Linked DNA regions of Arabidopsis thaliana. The protein of the gene in region 4 interacts with the protein of the main gene of each other region in a biochemical or structural test. Each region holds a gene or a part of one and is shown on either strand. Other genes may lie near its edges. The genes, in order: AT2G27330, AT1G74050, TSBtype2 and TTL3.

What was found.
Region 1: the proteins of TTL3 (region 4) and AT2G27330 form a complex in vitro, tested with the Arabidopsis thaliana proteins (one study listed by BioGRID).
Region 2: the proteins of TTL3 (region 4) and AT1G74050 form a complex in vitro, tested with the Arabidopsis thaliana proteins (one study listed by BioGRID).
Region 3: the proteins of TTL3 (region 4) and TSBtype2 form a complex in vitro, tested with the Arabidopsis thaliana proteins (one study listed by BioGRID).

Annotation. Positions count from the first base shown.
Region 1 is NC_003071.7:11,694,484-11,698,707, forward strand, and holds AT2G27330 (RNA-binding (RRM/RBD/RNP motifs) family protein), read right to left. Parts: upstream 2,317-4,224; 5' UTR 2,081-2,316; coding exon 2,002-2,080; intron 1,608-2,001; coding exon 1,539-1,607; intron 1,373-1,538; coding exon 1,266-1,372; intron 963-1,265; coding exon 867-962; 3' UTR 549-866; downstream 1-548. Other genes in the region: AT2G27320 (NEP-interacting protein, putative (DUF239)), read left to right, coding at 1-148; AT2G27340 (N-acetylglucosaminylphosphatidylinositol de-N-acetylase family protein), read left to right, coding at 2,966-3,071, 3,165-3,213, 3,301-3,371, 3,540-3,604, 3,700-3,744, 3,835-3,915, 3,992-4,059, 4,135-4,183.
Region 2 is NC_003070.9:27,846,500-27,850,884, forward strand, and holds AT1G74050 (Ribosomal protein L6 family protein), read right to left. Parts: upstream 2,510-4,385; 5' UTR 2,182-2,509; coding exon 1,925-2,181; intron 1,497-1,924; coding exon 1,390-1,496; intron 1,274-1,389; coding exon 1,092-1,273; intron 913-1,091; coding exon 757-912; 3' UTR 539-756; downstream 1-538. Other genes in the region: TET17 (tetraspanin-17 protein), read left to right, coding at 42-341; AT1G74055 (uncharacterized protein), read left to right, coding at 2,780-3,214; AT1G74060 (Ribosomal protein L6 family protein), read right to left, coding at 3,534-3,689, 3,830-4,011, 4,141-4,247.
Region 3 is NC_003076.8:15,422,264-15,427,080, reverse strand, and holds TSBtype2 (tryptophan synthase beta type 2), read right to left. Parts: upstream 3,102-4,817; 5' UTR 2,985-3,101; coding exon 2,915-2,984; intron 2,806-2,914; coding exon 2,463-2,805; intron 2,247-2,462; coding exon 2,030-2,246; intron 1,931-2,029; coding exon 1,393-1,930; intron 1,230-1,392; coding exon 1,131-1,229; intron 1,041-1,130; coding exon 787-1,040; 3' UTR 505-786; downstream 1-504. Other genes in the region: AT5G38520 (alpha/beta-Hydrolases superfamily protein), read right to left, coding at 3,847-4,158, 4,239-4,308, 4,391-4,604, 4,701-4,794.
Region 4 is NC_003071.7:17,726,977-17,732,392, reverse strand, and holds TTL3 (tetratricopetide-repeat thioredoxin-like 3), read right to left. Parts: upstream 3,915-5,416; 5' UTR 3,539-3,914; coding exon 2,640-3,538; intron 2,553-2,639; coding exon 2,357-2,552; intron 2,277-2,356; coding exon 2,092-2,276; intron 2,004-2,091; coding exon 1,670-2,003; intron 1,589-1,669; coding exon 1,387-1,588; intron 1,304-1,386; coding exon 1,197-1,303; intron 1,085-1,196; coding exon 932-1,084; 3' UTR 557-931; downstream 1-556. Other genes in the region: GRF9 (general regulatory factor 9), read left to right, coding at 126-229. UniProt on the Arabidopsis thaliana protein: Involved in osmotic and salt stress tolerance. May play a role in the control of meristematic cell size during osmotic stress. May function as an adapter protein for BRL2 and may be required for signaling affecting leaf vascular tissue pattern formation.

The DNA.
Region 1 (4,224 bases), 6.0 Mb from region 4:
AATGGGAAATGGATATTTTCCGTCTCACGATTTTTATAAAAGTTCACATTTTTCAAAGGTCAAAGTTAAGAATTCGAACTATGAAACCATTGATTTTGAAAAACAGAGAACAAGACGTTATGCAGATTCTTACCAATTTATAGACTAACGTATTGGGGTTATAACCAGCATAATAGAGTATCCTTCTCTTATGGAGGACCAGGTGGACAATGTGGTACTTGATGATCAATAAATCAAATATGTATCAACCAAAGCTATATCAAATTTGCAAGAGAAATAAACTATATCCATGTTGTTGTGTATGACAAGTATTTTAAATATTTATAAGGCATTCAGGTGGACAAAGATATATAAACTACCTCTTCCAATACAAATCTTAGGCTAATTTCGTTTTCTTACAAACATCTTTGTTTTATCATTCCAATTTTATGAAATCTTCAGAAATAAAATGTGGTTCTTCCATAGATGTATATAGAAAATTAGAGTCATGCTATGAACACAACTAATGCCCTAAACGGCGAATTCCACATAAGTAAATAAGCTTTAGATAGTTCTTAAGCGATCTTTTGGTTAGAAGTAGATACCAAAGACATGAAGAAACTAGTGAATAGATCAAGAGAACAATGGGTTAGTATGTGAAGGCAAAGAAGAAGAGGCATAATCATCCAAAAGACTCAAAGACTCTCAAGTCACGTGACTTGTATACATGATCAAACGCAAAACGCAAAACTGGTCTATGATGACTCAAAGCTCCTAACTCTAGGTGTTCGATACAACTAACTCCCCAAATCCAAATAACCTCGAAACTGGTTTGAAGGTTTTCTGAGTCTCATAATTTAACCTAACAAGTTGACAAAAGAGAAGTATCAGCTATCACCACCTGCATGATTTGGCTTGGTGTCTGGTGGATTGTGTTTTGCAGCTTTTGTTGTGTCAAGGATCACGACCCGCCCGTCAACCAACTGTGATCCATATAACAAGACTTCATGAAGACTAAGTAACATAACCAGTTCCAAGAGTTGACGATTTTAGATTATCTCAAGACAATAGTTCCATTATCTAACATATCTTGTTCTAATGCTCCACCAGGGGATTCACAAGTAAATTATCAAATCTTTTTCTTCATAACAGGAGAAAGCTATAAGTTTGAAAGATCAATACTGTGAAAGGGTTTATACGAAAATCGATTCGAATGGAGTCTTTAGACTTATCTGAGATATAGAATTTCAAGCAATGAATTCTCAAATGGAGAAGGGAGTTTATACCTGGGCGTTGAGTTCTAATAAAGCTTTCTCGGCTTCTTCTTTAGATGAGAATGTGACATAAGCAAACCCTTTTGGTCTGCATCTGATTTTGTCCATTATAACATCCACTAAAGCAACCAAAAGTTGAAGAAGACAATCAGAATGAATGAAAATACTGAAAACCTTATGTACAAGTGTATAGACTCTTAACTATCTCAAACTAACTCTGATAAAGATAAAGAGATATGTAAGTGAAGGTGTACAACTAAATTGCTGTTGGGATTAGAGACTGACCTTTGAGAACTTGACCATATTGAGAAAATGCTTGGGTTAATGTTTCTTCAGTGCTTGAGAAAGATATGCCTGCAGCAAAAATCTTCAGTTCAGTGACAGTAATACAAGTCACACACAGATCAAACAAAGACACAAAGCTTTTACATCTAAAGTTCGAAACTTTTAGATTGGTAAGACACTATGTGGTAGTTAAGCAGTAAATTCACACATACCCTATTGTTGTTTCTATCAAAATAAGAAGAATTGGTACAATCACAGCATACATACACAATAGCTATCTCTAACCAAATTGGCACAGTCAAAGTCACAACCTTTAAGACCTCAAAAACCAATTGAGGACATACCCGATTCAAGGAATTAGAAATCAGGAAATGGGTAGTTAGATTCGTGAAAGAAGGATTAAGAATCAGAAAAGTCGCAGATAATAACAGAGGAAGAGGGAGAGAGAGAGAGAGAGAGAGACCTTTAACGAAAAGCGTAGAGGAGAAAGATCTGGAGAAGAGGAGAGGAGTGAAGGAGCGATAAAGGAACTGGGTGAGCATTTCTTTTGAAGCCGTGGCTGTTGCCGCGATCTCACCGCCGGCGAAATCACACTCTATGAACTTTATTCTCGCTGTTGTTCTTCCGTTCCATTTACCATATAATAAACCAAATTTAAGTCCACGTCAGCAATTCTAACCACACTGTAAAAAAACAAAACATCATCGCTCCCTGAGAGCAAAACCCTAATCGTCGATTCTGCTACATTCTTCCGGATTCTCAGCTGCTGAAATCTCCGGTGAGTGTTCCCACACTCTGTCAATTTTGGTTATTAAAATTTTGTTTCATTTCTTTTGATTGATTTTTAGTTTAAAAATGTCAAATTGAATGCTTTTTCTCGAGAATTTGAGCTAAATTACTGCAATTTTGTTTCAGTTTTCATGGGCTTCTACAGCCATCACGTCCTTCCTCATTCTTGCCATCGATCAAGCTCTTACTTTCTCAGTTCTCAGTGTCGATAGATTCTCTTCTTTGGTTTAGCTGTTCCACTCTCTGATTTTACTTAGCTTGATCCTTCCGAATGTGAAAATGTTTCTGTTATGTTTATCTGAAATGTGGACTCATGAATCTGGAATTTGAGCAAACAAGGGTTTCTTCCGAATGTGAGCTTGAATGCTTACAAATTTTGAATCTTTTTGTTTATTTGTTTGCTCTCTTCATTTTTTAATTGATCTGGTCACCTGAAATGAGTTAAGTTCGACTTATATAGAAGCTATGTTCTGCAAATCCACATTGATGATTTTACCATTTTGTTAATTTGGATGAAGTTGATCCATCAAGAAACACTTTAAGACTTATAATTGTTGGACTTGATCTGACTTTCTTTTTGGGTACTGACCATTTATGCTGACAATTTTGTATTGATTCAATATCATTTATGGTGTCAGATGGTTGTTGTTTTTCTATCTCTGATTGTTGTTATATGGGTGGCTTCTTTCTTCAAAATTTTCTTCCGAGCTACATCTATCTCCAGAGCCACTATTCTTGATGATGGCAAGTATTTCGAAGATGATTAATAACTTCATCTTTTAAATGCTTATCCTTTTTTTTCAGAGTTTGATATCTTATTATTGTATTTGATTTCAGGGAAGAAAAATGTGATGTTTGTTATCGCACATCCTGATGATGAGTCAATGTAAGATTTTGAGATTTAATGAAATGTTAAGATTAGTACTATTGTTCTTCTTCTTATGTTTTCCTGAGTCATGGACATGCTTGACAGGTTCTTTTCTCCAACAATAAACTACTTCACTTCCACTGCCTGCAATCTTCACATCTTATGCTTCTCCACTGGTAATAATATACCTTTCTAGGTTGCTGTTTTGCTTTCCTTTTCAAAGTTGTGGAATTGGTAAAGGACTGAGAAATTTCTAGTTTCATTGAAGAGAAGAGATTGATATCTACTTAAGTTAAACCATTAGGTTCATTTTCCATAGTAAAGATGAATTTGTTTTGTTTCAGGTAACGCTGATGGTATGGGAAGCATTAGGGACCAAGAGCTGCATCGGGCATGTGCGGTGCTCAAGGTAATCCCATTTGATAAAGAAGGAATCTGTGATAATGATTCTTGTCATTGTAATGAAGAACATGTTTTTGCTAATATATATTGAACATGATGCAGGTTCCGCTTCAACAGTTAAAGATTCTGGACCATCCAAATTTGCAGGTTTAGTAGTTCTATTATATCTCCCCAACACATGTGTATCTTTACATTCACCATCTCATACCGAGTATATTACTATTTACTCTCTCGCAGGATGGTTTTGGGCAATTATGGAGCCACGATTTGCTAACAGAGATCATCGAAGAAGAAGTCACTAATCACTATATCCACACAGTATGACTTAAAGACACTTCAGGATATTACTTAGATATATTTCTGCATCTAATTCTCTATGTGGTGGTTTTTTCAGATAATAACATTCGATAACTATGGTGTTTGGGGTCATTGCAATCACCGAGATGTGCATCGTGGAGTATTGTACGTCTGACTTCTTTCAATCCTTTAAGTCATAAAACCACAAAACCATTCCTCATCACTTTGTTGTACATGCAGAAAGTTCTTGCAGACTAATTCAGGAAGAAATGTCAAAGCTTGGGAACTTGTAAGTCTTTCTTTCCTTTCTCGGAACTTAAGAGTATCTGC
Region 2 (4,385 bases), on a different chromosome or scaffold from region 4:
ATATGAAAATGTGCATGCTTATATTTAGGATATATGTGCAGAAGTATTGCTGTGCACAACCGGTGGGATGTGGGACCATAACGATGTTCGACAAGCCAGGCGAGTGGAGTTGGAAACATCAGTATGAACGGAACCAAGTTCCAGAAGAGTGTTCTTATGAGTATTGTTTAGATTGCAGAGGCTGCCAACTAAGCATCTTAAAAGCCATTGTTCATCAATGGAAATATCTCTCGATGTTTGCTTACCCTGCTCTAGTCCTTTCCTGCATCAGTCTTGCTATAGCTTGGTCTCTCAAGGAGACTATCCACGAAAACGAAGATTATCGAGGTTCTTATAGTTGATCTATGATTTAATCCTAGAATACTTACTTCAAATTACATCAAAAAGTGTCAGATTTGTAGAAATGCCTATAGAAAACGGTGAATGATTTTTGAATGAGATAACGCCAATGTTCATGTAGCTTGCACATACATACCATTTTGATGTTTATTCTATATTTATGTTCAATTTCATACCGAGTTATATAGCATAACGATCCCCTTTTTTTTTGACAATAATTATCCCATTTCTATCACGAACCACGCTACAAAGCTCACAATCAAAAACAGGATCGATAGTTTGTCCATACGTAAGAACAGAGAATGTATAAGCCAAAAATTGTATGTGTTCAGTGAACAAGAACAAAACAACCATTTAGAAGGTAAAACACTTCAGGAGACAGATACTCTAGAGACCTCAGAAAAAAAGTAATGAAATCTAGAAAACAAGCTCATGGGGCTTCATTCCTTGTTTCAATGAAAACCTTGCGCCAAGGTAAGTCTTCAACTCTGGAACTGCTTCAATGGCTTTGATCAAAGCTGCATCCACAGCTTTCTGGTCATCTTTCTTCACCTGTGGGATCTCCTTCTTCTCCTGTGAAATATAAAAGAGAGATGTTATGTCAAGCATATGTTTTGGTTTGGAAAATAACAAGTGATATAAAGATATTTTCAATGTCTATTCTTCCGGAACAAACTGTGATAACCAAATTTAAAGGAGAGAAACACAAGATGAATTGCGTCCTTTCCATGTTTTGCGATATAAGGTTATACCTCTTTCTCAGCCTCAAAGAACTCTCCTTCTGTCTTCTTCTTTTTCTTCTCAGCAACCTTGCCAAAGTACTTATCATCGAATTTATCGAGGGTGACTCCAGAAATGTCAACCTTTGTGGAAGTGCCAATCACATAGGCCTGGTTAACACGTCTCAAAGGAACACCATTGATCTTGAATGGTCCTAAAGAATTGTTAAAAAAAGGATGAACAATTCAGATGGTAAAAATCAGTGAATGAGCTTCGCTTCAAATGATTTATAGGAGACAAGTTCATGAGAACAGATAGAGAATAACTCACCAGTCACAAGAAGCAAACCAGAGGCAAGCTGCTTAAGGAAGACAACTCTCTTTCCCTTGAACCTACCAGCAAGGATAATCAACACTGTACCTGGAGTAATGCTAGCTCTGCAATACAGATATAAGAAGATCGGATCATGTTGGAAACATATATAAGATCTATTGAAGACGTTACAGAGCATAGACATTAAATTTGGTATACAAATGAAAATCAAATTCGCTTTTTTTCTTTTTACTATCAACCTGAGACAAGCTTAATCATACTAATAACAGTAATGTATAAGAAAACTAGATGTATTCACAGAAATTATGAACCTTTTGAAATTCAAGTTTAACTCCACTAACAATCTTCACAAACCAATGCATTTCAACTATTCTTCAAATATCCTAGAGACAAATGATTTACACAATGCAAAATTTGGACACTTTTCCAGCAGATATTCAAATCTTATACAAACCCACTTAGCAAACGAGCCAAAGAAATCAACCAAACACATGGAAGATAATTGCATCGATACCAGTGTCAGACTAAGTACCTGAGCTTGGTTGGTTTTGCCGTGCGCCTGTTGGGGAGAGGTTTCTTAACATCTTCAGCTGGATAGAACTTCGGTGGCTTCTCCACCGGAGCATCAACCTTAGATTTAGCGTCGTGACGTGGGAAAACGCCTCCATTTTTGGCCTTGATAGCCCACAAACCTCTCTTATGGTACATCTGGGATCTCGAGTATTTACCAACACCCCTGATCAGATCAGGGTTTCTGTTGACCTTCGGGGTCCTCTGTTTCGCCGGCATGGTTCTCTCTGTCGTAATGAATCAAGGAAAAATTTTCCGGCTGAGAGTGGATAGAGGAGAGAGTTGAGGCTGAGGATAGGTGAATTTGAAGACACTGAAACCCTAATTAAATTTTAGGGCTTTCTTGGGCTCATGGGCTTTACAATTATATCGGCCTTTTAATGTGGACCGTAACATGCATAATAGGATTTGTTTTTTCTTACAACTTTGTAGTATTAAATCTTTTCACCTAAAACTATTTTGACAGGATGATAAAAAAATCAGAGTTAGAGAGTAGTTTATCTAAAAACTCAGGCTAATAATCCCCACACAATTTGACCAACGCCAAAATCAGAGCAAGACGATTCCTTCACCTGTAAGAGTGCAATGGATCACATATATCATTTATAATTAGTTTGAGACGCTTTTGATGAAGCTGATGAGGATTTCTCCGCTTTATTCACCTTTACATGTCCTTCTTCAACAAACATTGGTCGGCTTAAAAGCTCTTCAAAAGATCAATGTGCACATGCCTATGTATATATATACTAATGACCCCGTTACTCAATCAACAAATATTGAATCTTGATCACCGAAAACCAAAATTTCATTAGATTCAATGGCTATGGCTAGTAGTAGTAGCAGCTCGTCATTGTTTCCTATCCAACAACAACCTCAACAACAATTAGGAGGCAATGAGATCACACCTATGGCTACCAATGCCAATCTAATCGCAGCACCAAACGCTCCAAACCATTACTCTTCCAGCTCCATTGGACCCTTCTTCGCTGTCATATCTGTTCTCATCATTCTTGCTGTTCTCTCCTGCTTCTTGGGTCGATTCTGCGCACGGAGCCGCCAGAGAACTGGTCTAGTGGCTGAAGTCAATCCGTTGGAGATGATAAAGAGTGGTGGGCTTTTAGGTTGGCTGAGACGAAAATGGAGACGGTGTTTGGCCGGAGATGTTGAGGCCGGAGCTAAAGTTGCTGATTGTGCTAGCAAAGAAACACCTAAAGATAATGATCAAATTCGTCTAGAAGCACCTCCAGCTTGATCTCGGTGCATGTGACAGAGACTAGTAATAAGAGTTTCAATATTCGAAGTAGATTGTAAGCTAAACTATATCATTATTGCAATGTTATTTTCAATTCTCAATTTCATCACTTCGTCATGACTTAAGCATTACTAGAATCTTGTGAAAAGTTCTCCTTCAAAAACAGGATTGATAAATTATCCATATAAGACAGAAATCCAGATAGCAGCAGCCAAGATTTTATGTCTCTGGTCAGTGGACGAGAACAGAACCAACCAGTTGGAGTGTAAAACTTCAGGAGACAGATACACTAGAAACCTCAGAAAAAAAGTAATGAAATCTAGAAAACAAGCTCATGGGGCTTCATTCCTTGTTTCAATGAAAACCTTGCTCCGAGGTAAGTCTTCAACTCTGGAACTGCTTCAATAGCTTTGATCAAAGCTGCGTCCACGGCTTTCTGGTCATCTTTCTTTCCCTGTGGAATCTCTTTCTTCTCCTGCGGAAGGAAAAAAAGTATATGGAGGTCACGCATAGCTTTTAATTTGGGTAGTGTATAAAGGAGAGAACTTTAATCGTCTATTACAAAATGAGAACCAAATGACTCTTAGAGAAAGACAAGAAGAATGTTTGGGATACCTCTTTCTCAGCCTCGAAGAACTCTCCTTCAGTCTTCTTCTTTTTCTTCTCAGCAACCTTGCCGAAGTACTTATCATCGAATTTGTCGAGGGTAACTCCAGAAATGTCAACCTTTGTGGAAGTACCAATGACATAGGCCTGGTTAACACGTCTCAGAGGAACACCATTGATCTTGAATGGTCCTAAGGTCAATAACAAAACAGGAATGTCAACTTTATACAGAATACAGAAAGCAAGTTTAGTGAATGGGCGTTCTGCATTTCGAATAAAGAATGTGGCAAATAAAGAAAGTAGATTAGCATAAAACTCACCAGTCACAAGAAGCAAACCGGAGGCAAGCTGCTTAAGGAAGACAACTCTCTTGCCCTTAAATCTACCAGCAAGGATGATAAGCACTGTCCCTGGAGTGATGCTAGCTCTGCAATAGAGAAATATGAATATCGGATTACAACATAACAAATTCCGAACAATGTAACACAAAATACAAGCAAAAGAGGCAAACTTTCCACAGAAATCAAGATAAATTCACAAACCAAATAGAACAGACCACAATGAC
Region 3 (4,817 bases), on a different chromosome or scaffold from region 4:
ATTTCTTTTTCTTGTTTTGCAGTTCGAGTTGGATCCTCTTGAACGTATCACATCAGTGGAGGGTACTTATGATGATAAAATCGGAGGTATAACCATGCTTAGGTTCAAGACCAACAAAAAAGACTCTCCGTACTTTGGATTCGGTACATTACCAAGCTTCGTGCTTCACAAGGATAATCACCAGATCGTTGGGTTCCATGGAAAATCCAGTAACATGCTTCATCAACTTGGGGTCCATGTTCTACCCAATGGTTTTAAATTTGTTTCTTAAGGATCTCGTACCCTTTTTTTTACTCTACTACATGTGTTTTCTCATTTTAATGTGTGGCGTGTGTGTCTTCCGATAATCTCATGTTATAAGTCATGTTTTAATGACATCGCATCTTCAACTCACTTCTACGTGTTGCGTCTTCCTATGTTGTATGTCTTTCGACAGTACTATCACGTAATATAATTTTGTTTTCTAAAACTTAAGTTCTGATGCTTCTTCAGCAAGTGTTGATGGTTTTGGAAGAATTAAAGGTTCATCATCGACTTATCGTCGAGCTTCATATCTTGCAAAGATTTCTCCATATATAGAGTGAAAAATAGAGACCTAACCCCAAAATGTGGTGTTTCTGTAAATGCCTTTTTTATTCTTATTTCAAGAGATAATTTTGTTCATGTTTTGAAGTTGTCCTCTCTCTCACTCTTCATTTCAAAAGCCAAGATTAAACCTAACTTCTGTCTCACGTCTAGTTTGGAACATGGGACATTGGTTTCCCGTGGTTATGGGGCCATTCGAGCTTAAACAACATGAGGAACCTTGGACAAAGACTCTCGTATCTTCTCTTCGCTGAATGATAAATCCACCAACTCGCCTTTTAAATACTTGTCGTAAGAAGTAAGGTCGAAATGGCCATGTCCACACATCGCCATTAGTATCACTTTTGCTTCTCCCGTCTCTTTACATCGGAGAGCCTCTCTTATGGTTGCAGCAATGGCGTGGGTCGGTTCTGGTGCGGGTATGATCCCTTCTGTTCTTGCAAACTGAATAGCACCTGAAAGACAATTAAACATGAAAAGTTTGTATTACAATCAAATGCAAAAGTTAAATGAGATTTGAGGAATTTCAGCGATCGAAGAACCACCTTGGAAACACTCAATTTGAGGAATTGAAATTGCTTCCATGAATCCTTGTTCATAAACATGTGAGATCAATGGTGCCATCCCATGGTACCTTAATCCACCTGCCAACAACCATAGACGTATAATACAACAAAATTAAGCCAAAAATAAAAGATTCAGGTTTCAAGAATCAAGAACCAAAGATCCAAGAAATCAAGAAAACAGAATATTGAGAATCAAGAAGCGTTTTGTTTAAGATAGTTAGTTTAAAGCTTATTTTATTACCGGCATGGATAGGATCAGGAATGAAGTCATGTCCCAAAGTATGCATCTTCATCAAAGGAGTCAATCCAGCCGTATCGCCAAAATCATAAGCATAAACCCCTTTGGTCAAGGAAGGACAAGCAGATGGCTCAACCGCTCTTATAACAGGGTTGATTTTGCCTTTGAGTTTCTCCCGGATAAAAGGAAAACTCAAACCAGCAAAATTTGATCCTCCACCAGTACACCCTATGATCAGGTCAGGTGTTTCACCAAAATTCTCCATTTGTTGAATGCATTCTTCTCCAATAATTGTTTGGTGTAACAACACATGGTTCAATACACTCCCTAGGCAGTATTTTGTATCCTCGTTTCTCGCTGCAACTTCAACCGCTTCTGATATCGCAATGCCTAAACTTCCCGGACTTGATGGATCGGATTCGAGGATTCTTCTACCCGCCTCAGTGAGATCCGATGGCGACGGATGAACCTTTGCACCCCAAGTTTGCATCATTAACCGGCGATATGGCTTTGTATGGTAAGAGTTGGCTACTTGCCATACCTATAATGTTTTGAAAAGTATAAAAGAAACAATGTCACTTATAATCAAAACATTACATTTTTCAAGATACCAAAGCAAAATTCTAATATTTATGCTTACTTCGCAGTCGAGACCAAATAGACTAGAAGCAAAGGCTAAAGAACTTCCCCATTGACCAGCACCGGTTTCCGTCACAACGTTCTTGACGCCTTCTTTCGCATTGTAATAAGCTTGTGGAACCGCTGTGTTTGGTTTGTGTGAACCAGCTGGGCTACCACCTTCATACTTGAAGTAAATCCTTGCCGGTGTTTGAAGAAGCTTCTCTAATCTCTTTGCTCTATAATCAAAGCAAAATAAATAATCTGATATGAAATTTGGCTAAACTAATACTAAGACTGATGACACTTCAGCTAATATTCAAAATCTTGATTATGAAAAACAGAAACAAATCCTTTTTATTATCTTTAAATCATCTATGGCTAAATTATAAATATAAAAGAAAACACACAAAAAAACAATCAAAATAAGAAAACTAAATAAAAAAATCAAGAACCTGATTAGAGGAGTTGGACGCCAAAGCTTATAGATTTCAAGAACTTCCTCAGGGATATCAATAAACCTCTCTTGTGTAGCTTCTTGTTTAATCAACTCATTGGGGAAAAGATGAGCCAAATCTTCGGGTTTTATCGGTTCGAAAGTCTTTGGATGCAACGGTGGAGGAGGCTTGACTGAAAGATCAGCAACAAGATTATACCATTGTTTTGGAATCTCAACCACTGATTTGTTGTGAGTAGATCTCAAAGCTGCTTTTACTCTTAAGCTAGATCCATTTGAAACTCTTGTAGCTTGGTTTGATTTTCTTTTCAGAGTTAAGTCACTAAATCCTTGACAATCACCTAATCAAATCAAAATAAAACACACAAGACATCAAATATTCAACTTTGAAGCAATCAAATCAAGAATAAAGTTTTGACAAAAGAATCAAGAGATCAACAGTGAACTTACCAGTAATGAAAACTTGAGGTGAGACTGATTTAGTGAATTGGTTTGGAGGTAAAAGCAATTGAGAGGCCATTTCTTTGTTATCTTTATCAGTTTCAAAGATATGAATTAGGGATTTTGGGATATTGACTAGAGAGTAATGAGAGATCGGTGAAGCATTTAAATAATAGACTCCAACGAAGACTTCCCGGCACCCAACGACATCTAACCATTTTAATACAAATTTGTTTTGTCTTCTTTATTTTTATTTTTATTGGACCACTCCATTTAACTCTTTTTGTCTTGTTTTGTTTACTCTTCTTCTTTGGCATCATTTTTTTGATGAAAACTGAAAATTTATAACAATGGTTTTTCATTCACACTGATAATCAATATTCAATCATCATATTCATATATATACACTTTTGAATTTCAAGTTTGAAAATTATCATCTTCACTATGTTGATGATATTGCAGCATGAATGTCCTTTTAAAGATTCAACAACCAAACAAATTTGTAGATTTTGTGGCCAAAAATAGCTTCTAGCAGCTCATTAAGTGTCTTTTACTTGCCTACCAACAAAAGTAGCAAATTATCAATTGTATAGGACCATCAATCATTCATCAACCTAACTAGTCACTTTCTACATTTGTAACGATTCTTTTACCAAAAATGACTACCAAGTCAATAGCATTGAGCTTTGACTAAATAAGCCTATCTTTTAGTTTAGTATATTTTTGGCTTTGACATTTGGTATTCAGTTACAAACCATGTAATTTGCGTTTATTCCAAAAACAAACTCCTTTACCAAGTTACTACCACCATGACTTCTTTACAACTTACATTCAGACACCACAAAATGTGTCAAGAAATATCATTTTGAATCTGTCTTTTTCCAATTAGATAGATTTGTTTTACATTTATAAACAAGTGTACACGGCTAAACAAATCGAAACTAGGTGGAAGAAAGTTGAGCCAGCCATGGAAGGAGACGCTCATGGACAAGATCCGGACGATCATCTTGCGGGCAATGTCCAACGCCTTGTAGAACATAGAGGTTGAAGTTAGGTAACTGATCCGGAAGGGAAGTGAAGTACTTACCTACTGGACCATCAAGAGGGGTTAGTCCATCTTGATCTCCCCATAAGACAAGAACCGGTTTGGTTATTTCCGGTATCAGCTTAATCGGATTTGGTCCAGGAGGACCCGTTAAGATTGAAACAAAAGCATCTAGTGCACCTTCGGTATTTGCTGGTCCAGCAATGATCTAACATAACATTTTCACATAAAAAGTGAATAAAACTTTCATTGTTCTTTGTCATTGAGAGTGAGTAATAATGACAATACCTCTACAAGGGTGTCATCTACATTGTCCTTGTTCCCGTAAACATTTGTCAAGATGTTCTTCAGATTTTCCCTGCGTTTCGTATATTCGTCAATGCGTTAGAGCTCTCGAATAAATCGTTTCAAAGTCAGGGAAAAAGTGAATAAGGACATACCTGTCTTTAACACGGTTGAAGAGTGCAGAAGCAATTCCTCTTTGCTTGAGTAAGAAGTCGATAAGTAAGAGTAAAGGCATCAGTAGCTTGATTCTCCAGTCATCAAAGACAGCTTTGTTGTTCATACCACCAGCACAATTCAATAGAACAAGACCTTTGACCAGATCTCCTCGTGATTCTGTTTTTTTTTCCAAATATATGAGAAACTTAGTACCTAAGATTCATATACTTGTGACATCTTTAGCTCAAGTAATCGAAGTTTATATCATTAGACGTAGAAACAAACTCAAATAGTGAAAAGGGTTTAGACCTGAGGCAGCGATGACACAAGCAAGGCTTCCAACAGAGTTTCCAATCAAAATAGTCGGTTTCTGAACCACTTCCTCCAAGAAGTTGAGTATCAACTACACCAAAATAAATCAAATCA
Region 4 (5,416 bases):
TTAAGCATATCCATGGACATTCTTGATGATAGATAGTTGAAATAGCATCTGGAAGACGATTGCCAGTTTTTATCAATATATATTTTCACTTGGACTTCAACTGTTAATTTTGCATTTGTGTGCAGGAGACGATGCTCATAAGACGAATGGTTCTGCCAAACCTGGTGCTGGTGGAGACGATGCAGAGGTAAGTATAAGAGATTCCTTTACTCGGGGTAAATCAAATTAAAATAAGCCGATTTTGATTCAAGATTTCTTTGCTTATGTTGCAGTGATATGATATGTGTGCACCTGGACAATATGTTTCAAGAACTGAATGTGCGGTGAATAATAGTGAAAAGTAGAGTTTCTCTGTTCCCTATATCATGATTGTCTATGTTACTTGTACTCTGGTTTAGCCCTAAATGTCTCTCTGGTTTGAATGTATTGCATGCCTGTCTCAGGACACTCTTATTTGTAATTCACTACTGTCGTCTTACTATCTATCCTTATGGATCCAATCTTGAAACTTATATTCCTTCATTTCTGAATTGCTGAGATAGAAGCTGATTGGATTCGGTACTCTCTGATTCATATTCTGTCACTGATTGAATCAACAACACCAAATACAGTAAACTCTGTTCAGTTTCTTTCACTGGTGTGGTGAATAATCTAGCATACACAAGCCAAGCGTAAATAGATAATGAAGCTTGCATTTCTTGAATCATTGCGAACATTTACCCATACGTAATATGCCAAAGCAAGCAGAGCCAAACTCCAAAAAATAAATAAAGAAGAATTAGAATCGAATAAGAAGAAAGAATGAATAGTTTGTTGAATTTGACAGAAGAGCTCTTTCCCATCTTTCACATAGAATGCTTTCTGAGTCTTTTAAATAGGCTATTCGGATCGAATCATAGGGAAGCAGATAATGATGATAGGGCTTTTTCAATCATAAGAGGAAATGCTTTATAGAGTCCTCTAGAAACTGATGGCTAGGACAAACCATCTCCTTCACTTTATCTCCATTCTTGTACATCTTAAATGTCGGAACTTTCCTGATACTCTCTGCTTTCGCCAACGCCATGCTCTCCTCCACATCCACCTAATAACATTTCATTTTCTCAGTTAACACATTGAGAAACATAGGTTATACATATAAGTTTAGAAGAAAATGTGATATAAAAAGCATATTTGGAATGTGTTCTTGTTCTTACCATAAAGAAATGTACTAATGGATACCGAAGACATAAAGTGTTGATGAATGGAGAAATTTCTTCGCATTGTCGGTTTGATGATGATTTGAAATGAAATACAGAGACACCTGAAGAGAAATGTTTCCAACTTGAGCAAGACACGCAAAATCTCAACCTTTTGAGACAAATTGAAGTTTCTCATTAGACTTACCGGGAAGTGCTACGGATTTCTTGAACTTATCCAAAGTCGAAACCGCTTCAACTTCATTATTGAAACCTAGGCTTTTAGATTCTTGGCTTCTGTTCATTAGCACTGTTTTCGCTCTCTCTAGAGACTCTGCAACTTCACTGTCTCCTGGAAGTTCTCTTCTCAAGAACTCATAATCTTTAACCGCATCCTCCCACCTACCAAGCTATATATTTCAACACACATTGTCATTCGAATACACTGCAAAATTCTGTCAATAACTGATTATAGTAAGTTCTAATCTCACCTTTCCATATGAAGCAGCCCTACGTAGAAGTGCCTTGATGTAACTAGGCTGGCTTTTGAGCGCATGGTTACAATCTTCAACAGATTTCTCCCACAAACCGAGCTTATACCAACACGCTGCTCTGTTGCAGTACAAAACCGAATTGGAGTCATCTTGCTTGAGACCGTCTCCATAAGCTACACACGCTTCCGAGAATCTCCCCGAACTAAATAGCTCATTACCACGAGTACGTGCCCGCACAACCATCTTCACATTGTTTAAAACTGATACAACCTCAGGATTGGTTTGATCAAGCATCGCAGCTCTCTCTGCCTTGACAACCGCATTCTCAAATCTGCAACAAACCTATCATATCTACTCACTCACCGGTGGAGAAACAAAAATCCAAAGAATCACAACATTTCTGAGTTTCGAAAGCTCACCTTCCTAATGCCATATCAACTTGAGCTTGGATACAGAGCACATAAGCTTCAACTACCATACCAAAGAGTTTCACCTGCGGTTGAGAATGGTAATGATGATCCAATCTTGGAATGCAAGATACACAAAAATCCGAATCCTCTATTTGCTTAAGACGCAAAAAGGCTTCTGCTTTACAAGCTACAAGCTGTCCAAACCAATAGAAAAAACCTCACTGTTAGTCAAAAATCTTTACAAGCATATCATACGACAATGATATGTAATCACCTGAGGAGACGAATCAGCGCCGTTTGCAATGGCTGCATCGGTTTCCTTAATCGCGGTTTTCCAATCTCCAATCTTTCGAGCCTCCCAGCATCGTCGGAGATGCTTCTCCAGCGTCTGTAGCCGTTGGAGATCAGCTTGATCCGGACATTGACCAGAAAAACAAATGTGACGTCTTGCATTCTCAGCTTCACCCAATCTAAAGCAACAATTCACTCCATCATTTCAAATTCTCAATCTTTAAACTAAAAACACAGCAACAAAACAAAAAGCCTCTCAAGATTACCTGAGATAGAGAGAAGCAAGTCTTTGGTGAGCTCTGGAGTAAGAAGGATCAATCCTAACAGCTTCAAGACATTCTTTAACGGCTTCTCCTAACCGCCTCAATGCCGTTAAAGCCGCGGCACGGTTGCTTCTGTAAGCTGCATTTCCCGGTGAAATCAAAATTGCTCTGTCATAAAGCGACAGAGCTTCAGAGAAACTCCCTCTCCTATACATATCATTCCCCATTCTCTTCAACTCCTCCGGGTTTTCGCCATTCTCCGCCACTCTCACCGCCTTTCCGCTGGTTCCTCCTCCTCCGCCGCTGCGTACAACGTTTCCATGTCCGTAATTACCAGTTCCTGTGCATAGAGTCTCAGTCCTACTTGAAGTCCGAGACGCCATTCCAGTTTTCAAGATCCGACCCGACGGACAAATATTTCCCGCCGGTAAAACGCCAGTATTGGGAGACACTGCCGACGTAGCACCGCTACCACCTCCTTGTGGCGAGGTGTGACTCGTTGCTGAAGTAAAGCTAGAGCCAGAGAAGATCAAAGGCGTGCCAGTAGAAGAAGATCTTCTATGACCCGGTTTAAGAATCCGGGTCGTGGTCGGCATTCCGGATCCGGGGCTAGAAAGCTCACCGGAATGACTCTTGTAAGCATCATCTAACCGTTTAGCCATCTGAGAACTCACCGACGGTTTACCAGAAGCAGAGCCAGAAGAGCCAGAGCTGCTAGTAGGAGTCGCAGCAGCGGAAGAAGAAGCAGAGCCACGTGGCATTAAGGTAGAAACAGGAGAACCTAGATCGAGTTCTCGAAAATCAGGTTTGTTGACGTCATCATCATTTCTCTGTAAATCACGAAATCGACCAGTGATTGAATCTATAGCAGGTTCCAACGAAAGTCTTCTAGAATGAGACATCGTCGTCACTTCCTCGTGAGCTGAATCTAAAATGAGACTCAGCTTCCTTTTCTTCTTCTCAGAGAAGTCAAGAGACCACCACCGAAGCTTTTAACGCCGGACAGAAACAAGTACTGTCTTCAGAGAGAAGAGAGAGAAAGAAGAGGAAAAAGAAAGACAGATCTCGTGATAAATAGAAAAGGAAGACGCAAAGAATTAAGATGAAGAAAAAAAAAAGGATTAACCTTGATTAATAAAGATTACGGATTTATCTCCCTGAAGATTATGACATTGATCTTCTTCTTCATCTTCTGTTTATCTCTCTTCGCTCCCGTGTCTTCACGGCTACTTGTCGTTGAAGAAAATAATACGGTGATTTATCGAATTTATTATTAATTAATAAACTCTATAGTCTAAAATAGTTGACTTTTTAATTTTGAGCACAGTGTTCGAATATAAACTAATTAGACTTTTTCTAACATTTAATGAATTTAAGTTTTCTTAATAAATTAAAACATTTAACCCCTTACTAACTAACTACATCTTTTTTTTTTGGTGCACACTAACTAAGTACTAAAGTACATCTACTTTCAAATTGTTGCGTTGTGTTACGGAAACGAATTATGATATAGTACATTGTATCTGTTAATTTGTATGAATGTTAATTAGTATTTAAAATTACTAGCTTCTGACGTCAAGGGCACGAAGATTCAAGCACGTTCACTCATGTTCCCAAAATGTTACTCTATCGAAATGTATAACATCATTTATTAATACAGACTATGCAATAGCATAAGCAAGGCAAGCTAGCTATATGTACTAGTATCATATTAGGATTTTTTAAAAGTAAACACTAAACCTTCGTAGGATATTCAATGCGCCACGACATGTTACTATTTTATCATTATTACTAGTATTTTTTTGTTGCAATATGTTTCATTTATCAAACCCACTTTTAGGGTCGTTGTACAGAAGTCTCGCATTAAATTGGCCGACTCAATTTTTATTAAATTGAATAATTGTAATGGTATTTTTTAGACATTAACATTTTAACTAGTGTTTAGTTAGTTGTAAAAAAAAATCTGGACAAATTACTAAGAAATAAGAAGTTATATTCTAGAAAGTAAATCTAATGATTATTTCTACAGATACAATAGATTTTTATTATAAAAAAAAATTAGTTAGAAGTATGTCAACAAATCACAGACTTTTGGAGTTTGGTTAAACTATTTGACCAAGAAAAATGAGAAAAAATGCCACGTAAGGATTTCAACCCTCGTACTCAGAGACAGCAAGATAGAGGGTAAAATCGTCATTCGATGTAAGATGTATTTATCAAGCCAGCCAAACTTTTGTTTAAGCCACCATATATATTGTACTATTATAAGCATATAAAGTAATCTTTTATTGCAATAGCCAATTTAAATGTAAATAACAAATGTGTGTAATGCAACAAAAATAAAGAAAATTACAAATGAAAGTTCAATATCTATTGCAGAGCTGGCATTTTTAAAATCTTCATTTTGGTTTTCGGGTGTCCTTTGAAAAGGCTGTCATAGTTCTCTTTTTTTCTTTTCTGGGGATTACTGTTTAATTCATTCGATATAGAGTAGTTAATTTGCTGAAACTCATAATTAATTACTTTGTATTAACTATTTACTGTTTCTAGTAGATCATGGCCAGTCCGTACCGTTCAGACCTACGGAACCACTAATTACATTGAACCAAGCACCATGCATGCCTTCATTTTATTTTATTTTTCTCTAGCTAGGTCATGCCTCGCACCCTCAAATTATTTTCCATATATAGTCAATTAATTTTCTCTTGACTTTTTCTTAAATAAATTATTTCGCTATATAAAAATATTTAAAACAATAATAGGATAATTAAGAACATAAC